Linked DNA regions of Saccharomyces cerevisiae S288C. Changing the gene in region 3 together with the main gene of any one other region gives a genetic interaction. Each region holds a gene or a part of one and is shown on either strand. Other genes may lie near its edges.

The links.
Region 1: mutations in MAD3 (region 3) and YPK3 together harm fitness more than expected from each alone (negative genetic interaction), as found in Saccharomyces cerevisiae (2 studies listed by BioGRID).
Region 2: of MAD3 (region 3) and KIP1, changing one suppresses a phenotype caused by changing the other (phenotypic suppression), as found in Saccharomyces cerevisiae (one study listed by BioGRID).
Region 4: mutations in MAD3 (region 3) and TUB4 impair growth when combined (synthetic growth defect), as found in Saccharomyces cerevisiae (2 studies listed by BioGRID, with this or other methods).

The regions. Positions count from the first base shown.
Region 1 is NC_001134.8:293,845-297,970, forward strand, and holds YPK3 (putative protein kinase YPK3), read right to left. Parts: upstream 2,159-4,126; coding exon 581-2,158; downstream 1-580. Other genes in the region: ETR1 (enoyl-[acyl-carrier-protein] reductase), read right to left, coding at 1-175; YBR027C (uncharacterized protein), read right to left, coding at 180-512; CDS1 (phosphatidate cytidylyltransferase), read right to left, coding at 2,525-3,898. UniProt on the Saccharomyces cerevisiae protein: AGC kinase which plays a role in TOR complex 1 (TORC1) signaling pathway which mediates temporal control of cell growth in response to nutrients. Required for phosphorylation of ribosomal protein S6 (RPS6A/RPS6B) at 'Ser-232' and 'Ser-233'.
Region 2 is NC_001134.8:99,833-105,732, reverse strand, and holds KIP1 (Kip1p), read right to left. Parts: upstream 3,848-5,900; coding exon 512-3,847; downstream 1-511. Other genes in the region: SKT5 (Skt5p), read left to right, coding at 1-417; thioredoxin peroxidase PRX1, read left to right, coding at 4,577-5,362; SEF1 (Sef1p), read left to right, coding at 5,618-5,900. UniProt on the Saccharomyces cerevisiae protein: Required for assembly of the mitotic spindle. Interacts with spindle microtubules to produce an outwardly directed force acting upon the poles. Following spindle assembly, CIN8 and KIP1 apparently act to oppose a force that draws separated poles back together.
Region 3 is NC_001142.9:408,972-412,928, forward strand, and holds MAD3 (Mad3p), read right to left. Parts: upstream 2,070-3,957; coding exon 522-2,069; downstream 1-521. Other genes in the region: chaperonin-containing T-complex subunit CCT3, read left to right, coding at 1-191; VTC4 (Vtc4p), read right to left, coding at 2,263-3,957.
Region 4 is NC_001144.5:564,360-568,208, reverse strand, and holds TUB4 (gamma-tubulin), read left to right. Parts: upstream 1-1,927; coding exon 1,928-3,349; downstream 3,350-3,849. Other genes in the region: CRR1 (putative glycosylase), read left to right, coding at 287-1,555; ATG38 (Atg38p), read left to right, coding at 3,678-3,695, 3,755-3,849. UniProt on the Saccharomyces cerevisiae protein: Tubulin is the major constituent of microtubules. The gamma chain is found at microtubule organizing centers (MTOC) such as the spindle poles or the centrosome, suggesting that it is involved in the minus-end nucleation of microtubule assembly.

The DNA.
Region 1 (4,126 bases), on a different chromosome or scaffold from region 3:
AGGCCAAAGTTTTTAACACAATTGATTGAGATAAGTCTTGTTTAGGCGTATAATTTTTCACTGACAAAACCTTGGTACAATCCTCAACTTCATGAGTTGAATAGATGAGCGATTTGAAGTGCTTGGGAATCTGATGAGCTGAGGACGACATGTAACGTTTGAATGTGGGAAGCATCTTGTTATATCAAATGTAATTGGCAGATTATGAACCTTCTTAAATGACAATGTACGTTTGTAATCTCCAATTTCTTTAGCCATGGAAACAACCCCTGGGTACACCACTCGTGCGTCCCTTGGAGGAGAACCACTCTTTTAAGGTAAAAAAAAAAGCACCGGCGGGGTCCAATAATGATAATAATACCATAAATAAGGAAGATGGTATCACCGATTGGTCCAGAAGTATTATCCATACAGTTGTTTTTAATATTATTACATACATTATATATTAAAAATGTGTTTCGTAACCCTAAAGCAAAACAAAGTATATACAGTGACACAGATCCTTTAAACATCAAAAAAACAAAAAAAAGTAAGTCAGTGCAGATCCGAGCCTTCTCTCTTAATCTATCTAACTTTTAATTCAAAAGTACTTCTCCAAATAGCTACCACTTGCTTTATAACTAAATCCCTTGAACATATCCGGGGACTTGCTCACCGAATTGATATTAATCGGCTTGCTATCCGTATAGGTTTCCTCATATGACATAGAAGTAAATTCTGTGTCAAAATTTTCCGCTAGTTCCAAATCCGTAATAACTGGAACAATTGGGCCTAGAGTGGTTTTTTGCAATTGTCCAGATTCTAATAACTTCCAGTCTATTTTTCTAAAGATAAAATGTTCAGTGAAAAGACTAGTTCTTGCAGCCCCTGATTTCTTCTTCTTAGACTTAGTAGGCTTATTATTAGCCCCGGTTTTGGCCCAGTATTTGTCAACATTCCACCTTTTGGCAGTTTCCTTCTTCAACAGCGCGTTTAATATATCTTTCATTCCCTCGCTCAGATAAAATGGAATTTTGGGGCCTTGCTTGTTTTGTTGAATCTTATTAATGATCACCTTATGATTGCTACCAGTATATGGAGGCTTACCTACTAACATGTCATACAACAGACATCCCAAAGAATACCAATCACAATTCTGACTGTAAGCTTTACCTAATAATATTTCAGGCGCACAGTATTCAGGCGTACCGATAATCGAGTATAGGGCATTGACGTTCTCTGGATCCTCCTCATCAACCGCGGAATCATTAGCACTTTTTTTACTCAGACCAAAATCTGTCAATACTAAATGTCCACGTTGATTCAATAAACAGTTTTCAGGTTTTAAATCTCTATAGACAACACCTTTCGTATGCAAAAATCTCAAGGCACAGCTGATTTCTGCCGCGTAAAACGAAACTGTCGTCTCATCTAGGGTCCCGTGTTCCTTCAAGTGGTAAAATAGTTCACCGCCAGGGATATATTGTAGCAGTAAATATAACTTTGAGTTATCGTGAAAAGAATAAAATAACTTGACAATGTTTGGATGTTCTATTTCAGATAGAATAGACCGTTCGGCAAATGTTCTCTCAAGCCTCTTTGATAATCCATCGTCATTATCGTTGTTATTACCATCATTTTTATCTTCGTCTTCTCTCTTGGAATCTGTGGCTGTTTGAGAAATTAAAATTTCTGCTTTCCGTAATTGCTTCATAGCATACAGCTTGGATGTATTGACGTCCTTAACAAGAAGAACTTTACCGTAGGCACCTTGGCCTAGGACTCTCACGGGCTTAAAATCGTGCAGGTTCCTTGATAATTCATTTTCTCCAATATTAGAGGAAATAATGTCCTGAGGTGTTATGGATAGTCTATTCGTATTAGTTCGCATTGCGTCCGAACCTGTAATAGAAAATCTTCTCGTATTTGGTGGAGTGAGAATAGGGAATTTGGAATAAGCTGAGGACCTTCTTCTCATCCTATGTGCAGGACTCATGCCATTTAGCGGAATCGCATTTGAATGAACCGAGAGGTGATTTATACTCTCCTCATATGTGATGGAGCTGCCTTGTTCATGATTGATATCATTGTATATTGCCGAGGAATAATCTACTTTAATGTCATTCTTTTTATCATCTAGTGACACACGATGAAGTTCTTCATCTAGTGAGAAAATCATCCTAATTACTGCCAACAGTATGCTCAGCTAGATTGGTTGATGAAAAATCTTATCATAGGGCACCTTCCAGGTAAAAGATCTACTTACTATTAGTCAGTACGTCCTTTTTTCATTTGTTTATAATTTTTTTTTTTTTTTTTTTTTTCTCCTCTCAATATTTTAGAAGTAACATGACAGAGCAACACGTTTATTTTCCTACATATAGTCATAAGTATAAAAACGAGCGAGAAATTTTGTTAAAGAATTGATATCATATTTTATAATTTACATAAACTAAATAGGGAAAGAGTAGTATAGCGTGCATAAGTTTGAAAAAAAAAAACTATTCATACACTCATATATACTTTTATATGGTCTTTTTTATATTCAAGAGTGATTGGTCAATGATTTCTTGGTCACATTAAAGATGTCAGCCAACTTTTCAAAATTCTTCGCTGATATTATACCTTTTTTAGATAGGAATCTAATCAAGATATCAATCAATTCTATAATCTGCTTGTCGTTCAGGTTCATTAAAATAGTGGATAAAACTGTATCTACTGTTATTCTGTGTTCGCTGATGAATGTTTCATAGTACAAATTGGCAAAAGAACCCATTATGAATTGGCAATCAACCCTGTCTGTGATACCACCATGGCCTGGGATGGAGTGGCCAAAGTCTTTAACTTTAAAAGTTCTCTTTAGACCAGATGCGAAAAAGCCTCCAAATGGCGCAAATAATGATGCAAAGGTAGCTAAGTTTAAAGCATGGAAATAAATTGGTTTTACTGTAATTGAATTGATTTGAACTTTATCGAAAAAGATGGGTGGAAGTCTGTAAACTTGTGGAAGGAAAACTGGGTTTAGTTCACATGTCAAATTAGAGAAAAAATTGGTATGGAGATCTTCAACAGGGCACGTCAAGTAAGTATAAGGGCTCAGAATCCTTGTTAATATAATACTAGCTAGAGCAGTGAAAAACCAGGCACCAAGGAAACCTTCTAAAGTTTTCTTGGGCGAGATTTCTATTAGTTTAGTCTTACCGAATGTAATGCCGCACAGGTAGGCGAAGATATCATTAACAATTACCAACCCGCATGGTAATAAGAACCAGAATAGCCCATTGAGCACGTTTTTGATGATCAAATGAGCCTGAAATACTACCAGAAGAAGAACCATATGAGTAACGCACAATGATCCGAACTGGAATTTCAAAAATCCCTTTCTTAAACTACAAACGAACAGAACAAATCCCATAAGATAGAGACAATAGCAGATAAACTTATGATTTGTTACGATAAAGTTCAATACAGGATACTCGTAAAAAGTAGCTTGGAAAAACTTGAAGAGTGATTTCCCATCTAAGTAATAGATAGTGGTGAAGAGAAGGTACCAGTTCAACGTCTTTGTCAATGGCAAATTCTTTTCGCGACCAGATGCACTTGTTACGGCAATACACTCTTTAAAAGTAGCAATTTGGCAGCCCAAAATCAGCACTATACACCATGCATGACCCGATGCTAAGGTGATGAAGAAACCACTGATCATAACAAACGTCCAAACTGTTCTAATGAAAAAGTTGTATTTCCTGCTTTCCTTTGTAGCAGCAGTGCTTTCCTTGGTCACCGGCGTGACGGATTCGCTGGCGTCCTTGTGGAGTTCTTCTTGCAATTTATCAATCGCCTTTGAGGTGGCGTCAGTAACCGACTCCACAATCTCCTTGCTCGTACCATGTGGTTTCATCTCAGGGTTGTCAGACATTTTAGGTATATGGAAGTGGAACAGTTAAGTATGACAGGTTCGCTGTTTGGGAAGATACTTGGCAAGAAGTGCGTCTTCACAATCTGGCTTACACTAAATAACAATATTGATGAATGCTCCCCCATGCTGTTTACAGTTCTCGATTGTTACACTTTTCACATGTCATCCCATCTGAAAAATTTTCAAGAAGGGTATCCGTTGATAATGACTGTCAAATACATAGCGATA
Region 2 (5,900 bases), on a different chromosome or scaffold from region 3:
AATAAAAGTATCAGTACTTTGAATTTATTCTCTACTGTGGACAGTCAAACAAGTAACGTAGGGTCAAATTCAAGAGTTTCTTCAAAATCTGAAACATTCTTTACTGGAAATCCAAAACGTGATCGTGAGCCACAAGGTTTGCAAATTAACATGAATTCAAACACGAATAGAAATGGTATTAAAACGGGTTCTGATACAAGCATCAGGAAAAGTTCTTCCTCAGCAAAGGGAATGTCAAGGGAAGTTGCTGAGCAGTCGATGGCAGCAAAGCAAGAAGTTAGTTTATCAAATATGGGCAGTTCAAACATGATTCGTAAAGATTTTCCTGCAGTAAAAACTGAGTCAAAAAAACCTACAAGCTTGAAGAACAAGAAGGATAAACAAGGTAAAAAAAAAAAAGACTGTGTAATTATGTAAGTACACATACTAGATTGTTTTCATTCTTTATAGGTGCAACAGTTTACACTCAATGCATATAGTGATACAAATATTTTACAATGGCTATATCCCCTTATTGATGAAGTTTTTTATTTTGCAGTATGTCATTATTTTCAGTTTCTTCTCCCTTCAATATTGGCTCGGTGGTAAATCTTCTCTTCAAATTGTTCTGCGATTCTCGTCCAGTACCCTCTGTATTTGGTAAGGTCTTTGATCTATTGGACTTGGCCGAGTTTATGCTTTTCGGTATAAGAACTTTTGGTAGAGGTTGATCAGGCACTGGCACTGGGGTTTTTGGACTGAATTGTGAAAGAGGAAAATTTTCATTAGTTGACAAGTTTGGTATACAAGTACGAGAATTAGATGTGTCGTCTTTGCTCTTATTTTCAGCATCCCTATAAATCTGAAATTGTTTTGGATAATCCAATAAGGGTAAAGCCTTGATTACTGACGCTTCAGGTCTTGTATGCTCATGAAGGGGTTTTTCTATGCTGTGAGCAGTGAAAATGTCCATACCCAGTATTTTCAGTGATTGTAGCTTCTCGCAATGTTCAGAAAGCACCTCATCTTGTGTTTTTGAGATTTGCATAATATTCTCATCGTAATCAGTTAATATAAAATTGCACAAAGAATTAAAATTTTCATTTATTGCAATCAAATTGATATTGTTTTCATTAGATATGGTTTCAATTTGTGATTGTATTTCATCTATTAATGACATGATCTTCTCATTTGTTAGGGCAATGTCTGAACAAATTATATTTTGAAATTTTTTAATAGAGGTCAATACTGGATTTGATGCGATTGTGTTATCATCGCCACAGGTTTCACAAATGGTTTGTGATATCTTGTTTAAAAATTCATTGATGGGCAAACTTCTCAGTTTGGAGGATATGTCCATGTTCATTCCGCGTGATAGACTGATTAAATCGTTAGTAAAGCTTTCATTGTTCTGAGAAACCGTTTTCAAAGTGTTTTCAGCATTATGAGCGAGGGATGCTATTGAGTCGGAATGAATTTTATTAACTACGATATCTGTTTCGTTGAAAATAGAGGCCGTCTTCTGCCAGATATCTTGATCCAACTTAGATTGTTTATCTTTTAGGTTATCGATACATTTGTTAAGTTCGTCGTGGAATTCACTACGCGTCCTGGAAACGTGATCCTGAAAATATCGCTTCATTTCAGCCAACTGTTGGTTGAATTGGTTAGAAATCCTGCGCTCATTGATCAGATCGTTTTTCAGTTTTTTTATTTCTAAATCTTGCTCTTTAATTAATTTCGATGATCCTGACTGCTGGTTTTCTATTAAAACATTCATACTATTCAAGTTAGTGGTGCAATTTTGCGATATTTCGTTTATGGAAGTTAGAATTGAACTGCCTATCGAATCAAGACAGCTTTTAATATCGTTTTGTAAATTTTTTAGAAATTGTTGATGTGATTGGTAGATTTCATTCAAATCTTTACGATAGTGAGAAGTAGAATCACTCTGAAATATTTCCAATGAAGTCGAAATACTACGCACCAGTTCGTTCATCTGATTCATCAATAAGTTAGTAGTAATGTTTAATAACGATTTGAGAGTAGAATCGTGTTTCGCCTTATGGGTATTTACGTTCCTGGTTAGTTCTTCGGTGACGCCTTTGATAACTTCGGAACATTTAGAGTTATAATTATTTAAAGAGCCCTGTAAAGTGTTCAAAGTCTGTAAAACTTGTTGAGAGATTTTTAATTGCATGTTCTGGTTCGTATTATACTGTTTTTGAGAATTTTCTAGTGAAAAATCTCTCTGTTGTATGACTTCATTCATTAGTTCGAGATTAGTATGGTGAATTTTTTGGATTTCCGAGTAAAAGTTAGAAAAATCGACATTAAAATTCTGTATTATGGCAATTAGTTTTTCCTTTTCAGACTGTAAAAGATTATTGATATCTAATTGGTTCAGGTAGTTTTCTTTGAATTTTTTAATTTGTTCTCGCAGGTTATGTATTTTTAGATTTTGCTCATCAATCAAGATAGAATTGCTCTCGTAAAGGTCCAACTGATCTTGAGTTATAAATATACCTTGTTTGTTTCTTGAATTTTTCAAATCATTTCTTAATTTTTCAATCTCTTGAATGTAGTCTTTGAGACATGTATCCTTCGATAAAGACTGATTTACTTGTGGAGTATTCTTAATTGATTTGGCTCTCGTTGCATATTCTAGCGTACTTGCAGTCTCTTCCATGGATATTTTCGCAGGTGATATAGTTGCGATAATGCATGTTTTCGTCATACCACCTAAAGAGTCTTGTAGCAATCTTGTTAGCTTAGATTCTCTGTAAGGTATATGGTTAGAATGATCAACGAGTGCGTTGATAACACGGCCTAGTGTTAGCAGCGATTTGTTTATTAGGCCAGCTTCTTGAGCCCTTTTATTCTCCGCACCCGATCTGTTGATGTTTTCACTGCCTGCCAAATCCACCAAATTCAATTTGCCAATTTTAACAAAATTTTTGTTTTGTCCATGGTCTTTGCTATCTTGCTCAACTATGTTTGTTGTGATTGTAAAGACGGTGTGAGACCTTGATGAAAGATCGTTGCATTTAGTAGCGGCCACTTTCCTTTTTAACGAACCCTGCATTAGCAAATTCAAGCCTTCGTGTGCAGAGTTAATAAAGATTTCCTGCATCCCCTTGACCATGATGGATGAATTATTGTTGTTATTGTCAAAAATACGAATCTGCCTCTTGGGATCGTTGACTGCAGGATCATCGTCCTCACTATCAGAGAGCAGATCTTTCAAATTTTCATTGTACAACTCTAAAAAGGATATTTTTACGGAGTACTCTTTATTTAAGGAGCTCAATTCTTTAAACAAATCGACCAGAACCCGTGGTATGATACCTGCATGCTCTCCTAATAATAGATTATCGGTAGATTGCACATCACCGAGAATATTTATATCGCCAGACATAGTGTAGGTTTTACCTGTTCCCGTTTGACCGTATGCAAATATTGTACAATTGTACCCGTGCAACATTTCCTTAATGTAGTTTTTTGCAGTGGCATTAAACACTGTTTCCTGGTCAGATTCTGCGCCGAACACCTGATCAAATTGGTAAGTTTTCTTCGAGGACGAATACGATTGGTGAGAACCGTTGGACAGAATGATTTCTTTCCCTTGTGGGCCTAGTGTAGATATAACTACACTACTTTTTTCCTCTATTTCTCGCTTATTACGCGATCTGCACCTTACATATACATGTATATTGGAGTCTGAAGTGGCAGCACCATTGTTACAGGTGGGCGGCGTTAGAGTGTGCATCCCATTTGAAAGACTTGGAGATGGAGCATGTGCAATGGTCCTCCTCTTGTTCGCTTCGAACTGGGCGGTGCGGCGGTTGGGCAAGGAAGAACGAGCCATGATTGTTTAACTATCTCGCCATATTTAGTGAGGGAAGCGCGAACTGTCGTTGATTGTTTATGTGTTTATTTTATGTTTATCGTTCTTAGAGGGTGGCGCGCACTGTGCGCGCATATGTGGGCCATACGCAGACATATATAAAGAACTAAGAAAAGGTGAAATGGGACTCTACGATGGCGCTAATGGTAAGGTCTCTTTTCTATTTGCCTAATTCAGATACAATATATAATTGCCAACCTCAAAGAAGAAGAATTATGGGCATATTGACCTTCTCCGGTTTCCCTCCCGCGCTCTCGTATCCGTCTGCATTTGACCTCGAGCAAGCGCTCCACTATGTCTATATGTTTACCAGTAAAACTTCTTAACGTTTGTGATATTTTTTGAACTTCAACCACATTCAGTATGCGTGTGTATATAAAGATATTCCTGATAGCACTATGTTTATCTTTATACAATATACAAAAGGTCACCCAGGACGAGCAGCGCGGCTATTTTTCTATCATTCCGTGAATAGCGACCAACGGTCGGCGGCTATTTTTTTTTTTGCAATTTTTTCGGGATGGGTTCCCCGGCAAAAGCTAGCCCCGGAGATTTTTAATTACGTAAAGAAACAAGGGGCCGGATGTTGCTGCTATTGGTATATAAAGAGAGAAGGAGAGATATAGAAAATTGTGCTTCTAGATTCTCGCAGTAGGATGAGATAAATTTCAAAGAAGCAGGAAGCAAAGGATGTTTAGTAGAATTTGTAGCGCTCAATTAAAGAGGACGGCATGGACCCTTCCTAAGCAGGCTCACTTGCAATCACAGACGATTAAAACATTTGCCACAGCACCTATTCTGTGCAAACAATTCAAACAAAGTGATCAACCAAGACTAAGAATAAACTCTGATGCTCCTAACTTTGATGCTGACACAACGGTTGGTAAAATCAATTTTTACGACTACTTGGGCGACTCTTGGGGGGTCTTGTTTTCTCACCCAGCAGATTTCACCCCTGTCTGCACCACCGAAGTCAGCGCATTCGCCAAATTGAAGCCGGAATTCGACAAGAGAAATGTTAAATTGATCGGGCTTTCAGTGGAAGATGTTGAGTCCCACGAAAAATGGATTCAAGACATCAAGGAAATAGCAAAGGTTAAAAATGTTGGTTTCCCAATAATTGGTGACACTTTTAGAAACGTGGCATTCCTATATGATATGGTAGATGCCGAAGGATTCAAAAATATCAATGATGGGTCACTGAAGACCGTGAGGTCTGTTTTCGTCATCGATCCCAAGAAGAAGATTAGACTGATTTTTACCTACCCTTCCACCGTCGGAAGAAACACTTCTGAAGTGTTAAGGGTAATCGACGCCTTGCAATTGACTGACAAGGAGGGCGTAGTAACTCCAATTAATTGGCAGCCAGCTGACGATGTCATTATTCCTCCCTCTGTCTCCAATGATGAGGCGAAGGCTAAATTTGGTCAATTTAATGAAATTAAACCCTATTTAAGATTCACCAAGTCGAAATAAGCTTTGAAATAAACGACTTTACTATATACAGGTATATGAAGTATCTCTAACTAAAACTTTTATCTATCTTTCATTCTTATTATATCTCATCTCGTACGAAGGGCCGCTCATTGGATCATTTTTCTTTACATACCGTAAAGGAATGGCGTTAAAAATATATATATGAAAATGCATGTAATAAACTCTCTGCAGAAACCTTAATGTCAAAGGTCCCGTATACAGATTATATTGGCTCTGCGTATACGCATTCTCGTCATGGTGAAGGATAATCGAGATTCTGACCAAGACCAAGATTTTAGTTCTGCTCACATGAAAAGACAACCGGAGCAGCAACAGTTGCAACAGCACCAGTTCCCAAGTAAGAAACAACGAATATCTCACCATGATGACAGTCATCAAATCAACCATAGACCAGTTACCTCATGTACACATTGTAGACAGCACAAAATCAAATGCGATGCTAGTCAAAATTTCCCTCATCCTTGCTCCAGATGCGAAAAAATTGGTCTCCACTGTGAAATCAATCCTCAATTCAGGC
Region 3 (3,957 bases):
GAGCCAAACACGCACAGGGAAATTTTACAACAGGTATTGATGGTGACAAGGGGAAAATTGTAGATATGGTTAGTTACGGTATTTGGGAACCTGAAGTCATCAAGCAGCAAAGTGTCAAAACCGCTATTGAAAGTGCATGTTTACTATTAAGGGTTGATGATATTGTTAGTGGTGTAAGAAAACAAGAATAATAGCCTCGAGGTTAAACTTCATTACTGCCGTTTAATATTTGGTGTTTCTTCACATTTTTTTGTTTTTTTATACTATTGTAATGTATTTATATAGAATTAAAGTCCTCACTATAATTTTGTCATCCCTACAGTATGTCATAAGCGTTAATCGGACAAACGTTCATTTTAAAATTGGCCTTTTTATATTTATATTACTCCTCATAGGATTTAATATAGAAGTATCATTCGTTAAATAATCATTATATCATCTGTGCTTTAAATAAAAAAGTCGGCCGTCGATGTGTTTACGATTGGCCAGTATACTTACTCATTCATGGGATTAGTTTTATTTCAACGCTGTGGTGGGTACGATATGAAAGACGAACTCGACTTGTCATCATCTGAAATGATCTCAGAATTTTTGCTTTGAGAAAAAGAATTTGATTCTCTCATTTCTAAAATTGGGGTTAACTGCCGCGGCTTGACAGCTGAGATGATATCAGACGTCTCAGTGCTTCGTCCCTTTGGCGTCATAGGGCAGTTTATGTACTCTTCGCCAGAAAACATTCTTCCCTGGTTTGAGGGGGTCAACGACTTGGAGACTAAGGCTTTTCTACTTATTTTTGGTCTTTTCGATTGTGCTTCAGCTTCTTTTTGATTTGCGCTTTCTTCTTGCCCTAAATTTGCTTCTCTTGGATGTTTCCTATTTGTCCTAACCCTTTTATAAACGTTTCTAGAAATTGCCAAGACTTCTTCTAGCGAAAATTCTAGTCTACCACCTTTAGATTCCTCATCTTCACAATAAATCAGTTTAAAATTACAGTCAATTTTTTCTGGTTTCTGGTCCTTTGTATTAATCATTTGATAAACAGGGTCACTTCTACCTATAGAATCTCTAAAGATCGGTAGTTTTTCATCATATGGTCTCTTTTTTTGCGATAACATCTCATGTTGTTTAAGCTCACCCAAATTGGTATTTGCTTCTAGCAATGATATTCGAAGGTTGTTTTCTTTGTTCCTTTCTGCCTTTAAGTCAAAATTTTCCCAGCCATCTCTATAAACACCTCTATTCGGAGTTTCGAATAGTTCTACATCAGACTCTTCTCCATCTACAAATACGTTGTTTTTTGTTAAATTGACGTCACTTGATGTGCCATTTTGATTTGCAAGCTCTAGTCTATTGACAAATTCAGATCTGGTTTTCCCAAGTACTGTAGACTCTAATGAGTCCATCGATATTTCATTTCCTAGCTGAATATTGTTCTCCCCCAGTTCTCTCAGGAGATGGTTTAACCGGTCTTCTAAAACCTTATTAGGCCTAGCCTTATTTTTGATTCCTAGCTGTAGAATTTTCACGGCATATTGAAATTTTTCTTTCTGAATTAATAGATTCGTAAATTCTTCATAAAATGACGCTAACTCGGAACCAATTCCATTTCTTAACATATACATGAAAATGTCTCTGCTTTCCATGAATGAATTTCTGGTAAAAAGTTCTATGTACCAAAACCATATTTTAAGAAACCTAACATCATTGCGATATCTCTCCAAATCCTTTAAGTGAGATAAACATCGCTCCAAAAGGGTGAGCATTCCAGATTGTTTGGAATTACCGCCTTGTGGATAGGCGTTGTTCAGCCACTTTATGTATTCAAGATACAAAGTAATTGGGTCGCTTAATGCAGGGAGCTCATCTATCAGTCTTTGTTCGAAGCTTGATTTAACTTGGTTTATTTCCACCAGTGGTTGATGTATCGCTTTCGAGAGTGCCGCTGCTGATCTGCCTTCCTTCAGGGGAAGAATGTTTTCTTTTTGAGTTTCGATTTCTTCAAAGTTAATAACATTTTGTGATGGTGACGATGGCATGTAAGAGATACGTTTCTTTGCGTACGCTTTCATTCTATCAAGTTAACGTCTTTTATTGTATTTTCGCATGATTTTGTTTACTATTTTTGAACCAGTGTGCGCCTGGTGAAGGTGTGCATTTCAGGCAAGAGGGTAGTTCTCATATATAAAAAAATGGCGCTAAAGAAATTATTATATCTAATATGATTATTACTTAATTATACAGTAAAAAAAACACGCTGTGTATTCATTTAGCAACTAGGTTGCAGAAAAAGGAAAATAAAATAGAGAGAATTAGAAACACAGAAACCATGCCGGGCCCGATCTTATCCTCATAATCTACTGCTCTCTTTAGTCTAATGTTTACCACTCTCTTGGCATAAACCATAACAGTACGTATCAACACAGCCAAGGAAGTAATAAAGAACCCAATGGAGCCAATCATGGCTGTTGGTGAACCATATGTTAATAAAGTAGTGGAGACACCGCCCAACAATATCGAGATGGACAACCAAGACAGGTAGGTTCTTTCAGTGGCAAAGTAAACTTTTGGTTCCACACGAACTGGCACACATATCGTCTTTCCCGGTGGGGCACGAATTTGAGTATCAAAAGTAGTACCTTTTGGGATTTTAGATATTTGATCACCGTTAAAATAGTGGTCAAAAAATGCCACGATTTCATAGTATTTCTTGGAGATAGGATTTTCGGCATTCCTGATCTTTCTTTGATAATAAGCAGCATTAGCACTCTCAACAACATGATTAGTGTTGGAGGTGGGGGCCGAAGTAGCCCCGTAACCAACAGATTCTTCTATATCAAGAGAATTACCGGGTGCGTTTGTCATGGCAGCAACCAAAGCAGCGTCATCCTCATCATCCTCATCGAAGTCGTTATCTTCGTTATCGGATCTACCGGGTCTTGTTATTTCAATATTTGTTGGTAGTGGAGGTTTCCTGATATCAACATCCATTTGAGGTAACCAAAATGGGATTGAATCCACTTTATCATTTAGTAAGGTAGCCACACCATGAATAAACTTGGAGAATTTTGGGACTGGCTCAACTAAGTGAGACCCGACTAATTCACGTACCCACTCTGGAGGTTCTTGACCTAGTTGAGTTTGCAATTTAACTTCCAGGACTGCATATGGGAAACGGCAAATATCCTTGTCATCTAGCTGCTTGAATGGCCAATCGACACCAATATCAGTTCTCCTCCAATTCTTATGAGTTCTATCCACACCATCAAAGTTGTCTTCTCTCACCATAGTTAACTCTGTATCAAGGGAGATACGAACTCTTGCATCACCAGGTAATTGAAAAGCAGTTCTATTGTAGAATGATCTCACTACAGGTCTCAACTTTTTCTTTAACATGACGTATTGAATTTCGGATGCTAACGCCTCCAAGTTTTCAATTTCGTTCATTGGCTTCTTGCCTTCTTTACGCATCTTGGCAAATACTTGATCAACAGTATATTTACCCTTTAAGAAGTCATTAACATGACGTTCCTTTAGCGCAAATCTTGCCTTGACAGATTTCTCACCAGTCCAATCCTCTCTATGGGTCTTTCTTTCTACAAAGATCGTGTCTGTAGACATACCCCCATACCATCTCAATCTGTGGGCTTCTGCACCTTCATCTTTTCTTAATCTGCCATAATAAAGGTCTAGATTTTCATTATCAAAATAGATCGAAGTAATAGCGGAATCTTCTCTTTCGAATTCCTTATTAGTGTTGAAGACTAACACTGGTAAATGCTTCAAGATGATCAGCTTCAATTCTGTAATGTTATCAGGGTGAACCCAATACTTTGTTGTCTGTCTAACGAAATTTTGTTGCTTCCCACCAGCAGATGAGTCTCCCTTGATTGGGCGACCTGAAGTTCTGGCAATATCATATAGTTGGGAAATTTTAACGACTAGTTCGTCATAGTTTTC
Region 4 (3,849 bases), on a different chromosome or scaffold from region 3:
GCTGCAAACCCGTCAAGCAACCTAAATACATTTTTATCGGGTATTCTTCAACTATTGTACCGCTCTTTACTGTCAATTGCATCTGCCGTACTTTTCATTTACTTCTTATGTGCTCGTTCTACTATACTTTTAAAGGCGTCACAAAAATTATGTAAAGCCTCGCGACGATCATGTAGGAAAAAAAAAAAAAAGACAATACCAGCTAATAATTATCGATTAATAACGAAATACAAGAACAGTCGTTTAGTTTAGAGTATCATCAAGGGCTTTTGCACGAAATAAAAATATGAGAATATCAATATTACAGCTGGTGCCGGTTGTTGGCTACATCGGATTTGCACTGGGAGAATTATACAAACCCAAAAACTCCATTTCTTGTTCTCCAAATAACCCTTGTCCCGCAGAATGGCCGTGCTGCTCGCCGTATAATGAATGTGGCGCTGGACCGATATGTGTCGGTGGCTGCAACGTGAGGTCATCTTTCGACGAGGAAAGCTGTGCTCCTATACCTGCATTAGTCGCCAGTCAAAAACTTGAATTTGTTAGCACACCAAAGGTTCCTAAATTTATTGTGAACTATCAACCTAAGCCACCAATAAGAGAGGGAAATGGACCGAATAAGGCAAATACCAAGGTGGGTGTAGTAGAAGGGGAGCTAAATTCCAAGAGAATCATACACTACGCCAAATTCTTGGTCACTCCAGACAGTAAAGAGGCAGAGAAAATGTTGGAAGATTTCGATTTCACACATAGCGGCTACACATCAATTGAAGCGAGTAGCGGGAATATTGTTCTGGCTATGCCAAAAAAAACTACCGGAAGTTTGATCACATCGACCAGGTCGTTTCTATACGGCAAGGCAAGCGTGCGAATGAAAACGGCGAGGTCGAGGGGTGTGGTGACTGCATTTGACTTAACATCCGCAATTGGGGACGAGATTGATTTTGAGTGGCTGGGTGGTGATTTAATGACGGCCCAATCAAACTACTATTCTCAAGGGCATTTGGATTACACAAGAATGCAAAGATTTCCCGTAGGCGCTGACACTTGGGCCACTTACCACACTTATGAGATTGATTGGGACCCGGATAGGATAATATGGTATGTTGATGGTAAAATAGCTCGCACAGTCCTGAAGAAGGATACCTGGGACCCCATTAGTAAAGAATATAGGTACCCACAAACGCCGATGAGACTAGAAATCGCTGTTTGGCCAGGCGGCTCGGAAACCAACGGACCCGGTACAATAAACTGGGCAGGTGGCCTCATAGATTGGGAAAATTCACCCGATATTATCGAAAAGGGCCAATTTACGGCGCATGTTGAACAAATCACCGTAACGCCGTACCAAAATAAATTCACAGAACAAGTGCAGTTTTGTATAAAGGCAAAGAAAAAGGCACCAACCTTTTCCCAAAAAGATTTGTCAAGAGTAGTCGTTTCGTATAACAGGCAAGACAGACTGAATCATCATGATGAGGGGTCTCTCAAATGGGACTGCTTTGTTACTCCAAAGATAAATGACTGGTTGAGTTCTTGGAAACGGTCAAAATAGTCACAGCAATAATGTCTTACGAAGTTCTCTCTTCCGTAACGGATCCTCTAATTCCCTGCATGAAGGCACGCTCTAATATATATGTATACATTCTTTAGTTCAAACCTTTCAAGAAACACAAAATGCACCTATTTTCCGCATTGCAATTATTACTAATTTCCTAAAGCAAATATTTACTATTCTCCCATTATAACGTTCTCTCTTTGTTACCCTGACATTCAGAAAATATCACCGGGTAACAGAACGCGTTAATATTATCTTTTGGGAAATTTCATTAAATGTAATAAATAATAATCGTAACAGTAGCTGCGAAATGAACAAATGCGTAATATCGGTTAGTCACATGTATAAGAATTCAACATATAACTATCTATGGGTGGAGAAATTATTACTTTGCAAGCAGGTCAATGCGGGAACCACGTTGGTAAGTTTCTCTGGTCTCAATTGGCGAAAGAACACGCTATAGGCACCGATGGGCTATCTCAGCTTCCTGATTCCAGTACGGAAAGAGATGATGACACAAAGCCTTTCTTCCGCGAAAACAGTAGGAATAAGTTTACGCCAAGGGCTATTATGATGGATTCCGAGCCTAGTGTCATCGCCGACGTGGAGAACACATTTCGTGGGTTTTTCGACCCAAGAAATACCTGGGTAGCTTCTGATGGCGCTAGCGCTGGTAATTCTTGGGCCAATGGGTATGATATAGGAACTCGTAACCAGGATGATATTCTTAACAAGATCGACAAGGAGATTGATTCTACCGACAATTTCGAAGGTTTCCAGTTGCTGCACTCAGTAGCCGGAGGGACCGGTTCAGGGCTCGGATCCAACCTCTTAGAAGCGCTGTGTGATCGATATCCTAAAAAAATACTCACGACATATTCTGTGTTCCCTGCAAGATCTTCTGAGGTTGTTGTTCAATCTTATAACACTATTCTGGCTTTGAGAAGACTGATAGAAGATAGCGATGCAACGGTGGTGTTTGATAACGCTTCGTTGCTGAATATTTCCGGTAAAGTGTTTAGAAATCCGAACATCGATTTACAACACACGAATCAATTGATATCGACCATAATATCTTCAGTAACGAACAGTATACGGTTTCCGAGTTACATGTATTCATCCATGTCCAGTATTTACTCTACCTTGATTCCTTCTCCTGAACTTCATTTCCTAAGCCCTAGTTTCACTCCATTTACATCAGATTATATTCACGATGATATAGCGCATAAAGGCCATTCCAGTTATGACGTCATGTTAGATTTATTAGACCCTTCCAATTCTCTTGTCTCTACCGCGATGAACAATCCAACATATTTTAACGTTTATAATACAATCATTGGTAATGTAGAACCTCGTCAGATATCGCGTGCTATGACCAAATTACAACAACGCATCAAATTCCCCTCATGGTCCTCTTCTGCGATGCACGTTAACATTGGAAGAAGATCGCCATACTTGCCTTTACAACCAAATGAAAACGAAGTTAGCGGCATGATGTTAAGCAATATGTCTACCGTGGTGAACGTCTTTGAGAATGCGTGCAATACTTTTGACAAAGTATTTGCCAAGGGCGCATTTTTAAATAATTATAATGTAGGCGACTTGTTCCAATCAATGCAGAACGTTCAAGATGAATTCGCCGAGTCAAGAGAAGTAGTACAAAGCCTGATGGAGGATTATGTAGCTGCAGAACAAGATTCGTACTTGGACGATGTACTTGTTGATGATGAAAATATGGTTGGCGAGTTGGAAGAGGACCTGGATGCCGACGGTGATCATAAATTAGTATAATGATGCCTTCCTTGTTCAGGAATTTTACCACCGCCCAATAGTTTTATTATAGTACTCTCAATATATCTATACCAACAACCGCTTCAAATGTATTATCTCCCTTTATAAATTCTGCACTGTATTGTAATATGTATAAAGCTCTGTACCACTTTTTCATCATTGCATACATCGATAGCGCCTCTTCAACTTTAGAATTTCCTAAAGGGTAGAAAAACCAGATGATTCAACTCAGCGTAATGGAACGCTCTGTTTGAAATAAAAAACATCTGTATCGCTGCACGGATTAGTTCGATAATTCAACGACAGTTATACTAATCTTGGTGATGGAATGAGTACTTTAGCGGAAGTAAGTTTTTGAATTATGCCCCCACTTTTTTTTTGTTCATGGTGACTAACATGAATTAGGTTTATACTATTATTGAGGACGCCGAACAGGAATGTCGAAAAGGAGATTTTACAAATGCAAAAGCGAAGTATCAAGAAGCCATTGAAGTTTTAGG